Lepisosteus oculatus: one gene and its partner. The protein of the gene in region 2 binds, or shares a complex with, the protein of the main gene of each other region. Links are inferred from orthologs where the notes say so. Each region holds a gene or a part of one and is shown on either strand. Other genes may lie near its edges.

Region 1 (3,754 bases), on a different chromosome or scaffold from region 2:
TTAACTGCTAACATTTCTAAGTCTAGCTCAGCCAATTCATGAAATAATATATGACCATCAATCTGAAATATATCAGAAAACCTGGTGTAATGTACTGGTCAGGTGTATTGACTTTTTAGAAGGGGTGTGGAATTGAGGGGTGCATCATATCATACAGTACTGCAGTCAGGAGTTTTTGCATGCTTGTACACAGCAACACTGTATGAATAAATAATACACCTTGTGGCTCAGTAAGAAAAGAAAACAGCCATTTCAATTACCACTGTATTTTTTCCATAAACTTGCATTGCACTAAATGAGCTTAACAAAGAAACAGCACATTACAATAAGAGAAAATACAAAACCATTAATCCAAATAAGATCCCTTGCATGATGTTTTAAGTGTCAATAATGCACTATCTTCATGCTTAACATCAGTATGGTCAGCACAGTTAGGCAGGGGTGCTAATGTTGGAATTTTATAGAGCTGCTTGTTAAAATTTGTCTGTAGATTTTTTTAAGAAGGTGAATTCAACTGGCTAGCTTATTACAACAAACCAAAAAGCTCCCAGTTTCTCTCATCAAATCTTAACAATAGAAAAAACTGAACAACACAATCATCATCAACAACAAAACAAACAGGGGAACCTGAAACAGCTGGCAGCATTTTGACAGTGGGCTCACAAGTGCAAAACTACGCATCATTTACACACCCAAGAACAACCCCCTTGCTTTGATTTTAGCGTTGATTGACGGATAAGCAATAAATCGACTCAAATAAAATCTTTTGACTATCCAATGTGATCTAGAGTGACAAAGTGTAGTAGATCCCAGCCACTGACTTTGCATAGCATTTAACCGAAGCTTCTTATGTTCTCGGTGTTTAACTAAAGTGGCTCCGGTTCCAAAACATGTAAGGATGGCACCGAAATTGAATTACCGACTATATATTCGTACCCCTCTTCTTGTGAAACAAGAATGCACTAAAGGATCTTCATCTCACCCCGGATAACGTCCCTGTGTGTGTTCTTGTGACGCCCGGTGGATGTACATCAGTAAAGAAATATGCAGCCCCAATAACCAGCCAAACCAAAGTATTAAAACAATTAAACACCTGAAGAAGACGTCCTCAAAATAAACGTTAGCTGCAAAACATTATCTGTGCAGTATCCTGCTGTCGTATCCATCAATACCATCAAGACTGTACAATTGACACAATAATACAAGAGGGCTAGCTTTCCCCACTCACTCGCCTGCTTTTTAAAGGTAGGTACAATGCATAAACATTCAGATATATTTTCAAAGGCGAAAAAAAATCACCCACCTCCTTCTTGACCGTCCGCACCAGTCTCTGACGCGTCTCCGCTTCTGAAAACGTGACAAATAAACACACATTTGTTTTCCATAGTGCAGGGTACGCAGCATGCACCCAATAAAATCGTTCATATAATACACTGCATTAAGAAAGGCACCAAAAACGAAACATGGTGATATTTATTCCCTTTTCTCTGTACCTGACATCGCTGTTGCCATGGATTCAGTAGCGCTGTCTCCTCTCAGCTGCGAAAGACCAGAGCGACCGTTCGGCTGAACCTGTGCGAAGTCGCGGCGGCTCAGTGAGGCGCATTCGCTCCTCTCATTCCTTACCCAGAACGCAATGTACACTACAGCAGCGGAGAGCAAATAGCAGCAAGCTGTGGAAAGGGTGGTCTGAAGTGTTTTTTTTTTCCCTTCCTTCCCTAGAACAGTCCGCCTTTTAAAGGAGTACTAAGGGAGCCCAAGGAACTTCCACTGCGTTGACAGGAATACGCGAGATTTCAATAGAAGTTTTCACTGCCTGTGCTCGCCTACGAATTGAAGTTGAACAAGCAGGCGCAATAGGGGCATTAATTGCTTTACAGCACTTTGAAGAATTTTGCTCATAAATAGCAGACTCAGACTAAACTGCATTTCAGTTACACCACACGTCCCGATTATACAGGTATTTTTTTTTCTTAGCTATCCTCACTACAAGACCTTAAAGTTGTATATCGGCATTCCGAAGTTATAACACATTTATAAACATTAATTTTATATAAAACAAACGCAATGGAACAACGGACAGGTACGAAACATCTCATTACCCACTTGTATACCTCTCCTAACGCATTATGCTAAAACGTGCATAATGAGGTGAATGCGTGTATTTTGCAATTAAATAGTAACATCACGAAATTGGTATTTGCAGACTAGTCGAACTACAATACCGAACTGTTGTTAGCACATACGTGCACAACCTGAGCTAAGACCGACAATTAGCACACTGTATAACTAAGGCGCAATTTAAGACAAGATGCTACAATCGTTAAGACTCGTTTCTGTCTCCAAACAGAGAGACCAGAAGGCGATTCGGTAGAAAACACGTGAGCAGCGTTTCTTCCCGGGGATGTTGTGTTGCTTAGCAACCATGTAAGCCTTATTAGTTTAGATAATTAGGCGGACACGATAGATATAGATATAGTGAACAGGTCCACCAGGCTCTTTGAGGTTATAGCTCATCAGCTATAAACAATTCTAGATATGCTTGTGACATGTAGGAGGCAAGTGTCCTCTGTCCATAATTCCCGTGTTATAAGCAACAACCCTGGGCAATAGGCACCGATTACACTTGCTCTCAGAGAAAAAAAGATACGCTAATTCTATGCTAAAGAGTAAAACTTTCATTTTTCATCTTGTGAATTATCTACTTGTTACTGTACAGCTCACTCGCTGATGCAGTCTTGTGCTCTGACTTAGGTAAAGGACAGATGGACTTCCTGCAAGGATTTCTGGTAGTCCTGTAAAATAATTTGTTATACATTAATATCCCAATATTGTTTTCTGTTATTTCTAGATGTAATTAATTAGCCGATTACCCAGCGTGTGATCAGAGTGTTTCTCCAGCTATATAGATAGTATGCTTGTTGAACACGCCTATCAGCAAGGAACTTTCAAAGATATAATCTCCAAAAACTCCTTGTCATGGAAAAACTCCTTCAGGGGAATGACTGTACATACATTCGTGGCACCACTTCAACAAAATAAAGGTCCTCATCAAAAAAACAGTATCACTTTAGGAAATAGAAACAAGCAGAGCAAAAACTGAGCTGCCATTACGTTTCTGTACTTACATTTGGGTCATAAATTTTCAATTTATTGGGAATTTCAAGGTCAGTAAGGACATTCATTAGTAATGCTTAACTGCAGGTGGATATCACTGAAGGGTCCATCAAATACATTAATATTCAGTGTGATGTTCGAAATTCAAGCGTGCATTATAAATTAAAGGAAATAAATGGGTCTCTGTTCCCACATTAAAATGTGAAAAGATTATGTGACAAGAACATAGAACAGGCCTTTGGATTTAATTTCACACATTGCCTAAGATGGAAAATGATACAGCTTTGCAAATTGAAGCCTTCCAGAATGTTGTGCTGTTTAAGTCCCATCTTAATTGTTCATACTGCATACGGTATGTAAGTATGAAATTACACAAATTATTATTAGTAGCATTGTTTATATGCCTGAAAGCAATTTTGTTTTTAAAGTTCAGAAAAATATAATCACTTTGTTGTAAAAAGAACGTTCTTGGATTATAAAATGTTGCTGCTGAAATTTAACTTGGTGTAGCTAATAATTGTAAAATGTACTATGATTCTCTTAGTACCAAACCCTTCATTTTAATACTTGTAGATTCATCTAAGGCTTCCTTTTTAAGAAGCTTTAGAATTTAATAAAAAGAAAACTTTCCTAGATG
Region 2 (3,754 bases):
ACAAATGAAACAAGGTTATGTTTTATCAACGGTGAACTACTGTATGCCTAGTTGTGTTATGGGAAAATTAAGTAAATTAGAATTAGCCCCTAGACACATTTATTACTGCTGAGGTGCTGCATATCTCTTGCAATACCTCAGTTTATCACTGTGACAGTTTACTGTTTACTGTGATACAGTAGGCCTTTTGAAATCTTCGTAGCACTGGGGCAATCAATTAACAGTCACAAACATTTAATGGTCCCCGATCTTCAATGATTTATGTATCAAAGGAGAGAGGAAAATTCAATGTGACAAGTTCCAGTCTCCAGAGTCATAGCAAAGGATAAATGTTTGCGTAAATGAGCCTTGCCCGGGGGTCACATTTGGATATAGAGTTCAAACAGCTTGACTATTCATGCCAGAGGTGGGAAGATTTTCATGAAGGCTTAAAGCCTGTCTGATCAAATGGATCGTAGCAGAAGGATCTTTTTTCCAGAAAGTTATTTAAAAATAATGTCTCTGTCTTGAAGATTCTCTGTTTGTTGATTCTACTGTGTGTCTCCCCTTGTTGCGTGTACTGTGCCACAGGTTTTGCTGGGTCATGCACGTAAATGTTGTTTTTATGTGATGTAATGCTGGTGAGTGTGATGGGTGTGTGCCCTTACAATTATCACTTTGCTGACTTCTGTAGAAATGTTCTAATAGGTTACTATAGAGAACTGGGACAATTCTAAACCGGCTATACTGTAGGCCATCCATTGCTTACTTCATAAGGGTGTTCACACTTAGCAAACGATCTTTGGACTAGGAATTTCAAGAGACAAACAGAGCTGTGAAGTACAGTACAGTTTAATGTGCTTCATGCAAATGTCTTAAAAGAGTTTTTTAAATAGTCATTCCCTGTAGTCTGTCCTTCAGTTCGCCTACATTGTACTACAATTGATGATCACCATTCTCCACATAAATGCCATTACACTAGCGCGCTAGGTGGATTTCTTTCGGAAAGGTGAACGTGTGTCTGCAAGCATGAACCGCTAACCCGTGTGTGAATACACGCTGAAGACTACTGCACTGAACGTTTACAATGCGTTTTGGAGAGCGTGTAGCTCCGGCAGGACCAGAATAGTTGCTTGTCCTTGTACTCGGAGAGATGATACCGGCGGCGGCGGAGCTCCGGCAGGAGGCGGGACTTGACGCGGGGTCACATGAGAGTCAGCGACGCCATGTCAGTGCGGAGCTGCGGGGCAGGGAGACCGGGAAGCGGTCAGTAAGACGTAAGAAGAGGCGATAGCACCGTCTGACGTTCACGCCGGTCCCCGATACAGGTGAGGCTCAGGTATCTCTGGGGGCTGCCCTGAAACTCGTAACGTGTCATGATCTGATTTCTGCCCGGGCAGCGTCACTGTTTTAATCGCGGCGAGGAATAGGCAGCTATAGTCATCTGGAGGTGGAAGAAAAGTGGCAGAGAAGCAGGCCAGGGTGAGAAACTTACTCAACTGTTTATTTCATAATAATGAATACTAAAAGCTTCACTTGGTTGCCCGCCTTGAAAATATTGTACTGTTTCTCTTAATGCATGATCTGCTAGTTGCTTTTTAGTGACGTAGCAGAGAGGCAGTTTGGTTTGTTTACGCTGAATTAAAACTTAATTTCTGCTGCGCGGTGCAGCAGATTCGTGTGTTTCTAGCTGTATTTTTAATTCAGCGACAACATTGCAATCTTGAAAACGTTTCTGTCGTTTACGAGTGAGCATCAGCGCACAGATCTCCTGTCTAGTGCGGGCCTTGATATTAACAGACGTCCAGTTTTGTTTTCTATATTGTCTTTGTCTGCTTTTGTTTATACGGGCAGTTTCCAGGTGACCTGCTCGGTACAGTATATAATAAGTTAAGTGAACTACACGTACAGAAGACGCTAGTCTGGATATCCCTCTGATACTCGCCTCTCATGACTCCAGGCTTGTGCAGTATTTAACTGTAAAAATGCCAGCTTCCTGGTGGAGTACTTATCAGGAAACACCCCGTAGAAAGAAATATGAAAAACGTTTATATCGGTATTAACATGTACATAGACCCTACTACTCTGTGAGTCTAGGGCGATTTTTATGCTACGAAATTGTTTAACATCAGTTCCTAATACAAAAATTTCTTAGGCGCAGAAGCTGGGAAGAAGAATTAGGTTTTATATCATAAGTAGATCAGTACAATGTATAATTCTGTACCAATATTTAGAAAGAAACTCTTTTTGTAATGGTGTTAGATCAATTACTTGGAACTGGCCACAGTTGGTTTATTTATTTATAGTAAAAGTTATAATTTACTATAAATACTCAGTTTACCTGTAATAAATGCAACCGTTTTTTTTAAGTTACTGTCGGTAACGATCAGGTACCGTATTGAGCTTGAGGGGTTGGGGGACACGAGTTTTTACTTTTTCGTGGGAGACGTATAGAAATCTGCGATCTTGTGACTTGGGAGCGAGTCCTATCTATTGCTGCTGGTCGCGGAGCACATGATTCAAGACACAAACAGAGGGGGTTTCCGAAAAATGAGCGCTGCGGGGCGCCGAGATTTATTTGTGATGTCTCAGGCTTGGCCCTGCAGAAATTGTTACTTTCATGAGAAGGTATTCGTGGGAGATCCTGGAAGGAACTGTGGGTGATGCTAGCAGACAAATGTGGCTGAACGAGAACGATTGAAATCAGGTTTTGTTTGCAGAAAATTGACTCTTTTTAAAGAAAATATGTGAAGTTCTCAACTATTAAATGCCAAAAGTAGATGTATTTTTTTTAACTAATCTACTAATAGCAGATGGTCGTTTGGAAAATTTGAAAGTTATTTTTTTTCAGACTTTTGACTCCATGAGAGCCACTGCAAGCTCTTTAAACATTTCCTAGACCAAACAAGTATTAAAGTTAAAATGTGGGGTGTTTTTCTACATTTGTTTCTTTTAGTGGCCTATCTATTGTTGCATACATGCTATCAAATTGTGATTTGATAGCATGTATTTAGGACTGTATGATTTGGATTCGTTGTTTCAGAACATTCTGGAAACTGTGACTTTGTAAGCATGCATGTGGTTAGTTCAGTGGTGATCTGAAAAATAAGGTCAATATACAACTGTGGTAAGATACTCCTCAACTAACGAAAGCAAACAACATTTCGCATCACTTTGTATATCAACTCTGCACAACATGGGATTAGGGTTATGAGACAAATAATACACACTTTCCCCACATTAAATGTAAGCTCTTCAGAGACTGGATAAAGACATGCTTTAAATGCATTTGAAAAACTGTCGTTAGAGGTTTTACTCCAGGTCAGTTCAGGCAACATAAACTAATAGTTGGTGTATATTGTATGCAGGCAATACTGGTGGTTTTGCAGCCTCAATGTGATCTACTGTTTTTCAACACATCAGATTCATATCTTACATGCTAAACTGTAAGATATAAACAATAGAACGAGAATCATCTATTTTGCCAAGATGTATTTTCTTACCAAGAAGATATTATATAAGATATATAAAAATATATTCTTAATAAAAGGGCGTTTTTATATTTATATATATTTTTTTTTACTATGCAAAGGGTTAGAATGATTTGTCTGAATTGTCCTGAAACATTGTAAAATCACTTAAAGCATAACATCCTTTTTATTTTTCAGTAATAGTTTTTTACACTGCAGTTCACGCTCCTGGAAAAAATCCTTGTTTGATACAGATTTAAATACTTCTGTTACCAACTGGAAGCCCAGCAGGCTGGGAACTGTGA

What was found.
Region 1: the proteins of rab9a (region 2) and sgsm1a are in contact, whole or in part, in a crystal structure (PDB 4QXA), measured with the Mus musculus proteins. The link is inferred for Lepisosteus oculatus from reciprocal best matches to the Homo sapiens genes RAB9A and SGSM1. Residues at the interface, in NP_062747.1 of Mus musculus: Phe37, Thr39, Ile40, Gly41, Val42, Glu43, Phe44, Leu45, Trp61, Arg68, Phe69, Leu72, Phe76; in NP_766306.2 of Mus musculus: Leu256, Leu257, Tyr258, Gly259, Lys260, Asn261, Asn262, Tyr277, Asn294, Met297, Asn298, Gln361.

Annotation. Positions count from the first base shown.
Region 1 is NC_090717.1:5,669,668-5,673,421, forward strand, and holds the start of sgsm1a (small G protein signaling modulator 1), read right to left. Parts: upstream 2,341-3,754; 5' UTR 1,513-2,340; coding exon 1,494-1,512; intron 1,348-1,493; coding exon 1,304-1,347; intron 1-1,303. UniProt on the Homo sapiens protein: Interacts with numerous Rab family members, functioning as Rab effector for some, and as GTPase activator for others. Promotes GTP hydrolysis by RAB34 and RAB36.
Region 2 is NC_090708.1:21,968,168-21,971,921, forward strand, and holds the start of rab9a (ras-related protein Rab-9A), read left to right. Parts: upstream 1-1,177; 5' UTR 1,178-1,307; intron 1,308-1,321; exon of another isoform or gene 1,322-1,461; intron 1,462-3,754. UniProt on the Homo sapiens protein: The small GTPases Rab are key regulators of intracellular membrane trafficking, from the formation of transport vesicles to their fusion with membranes.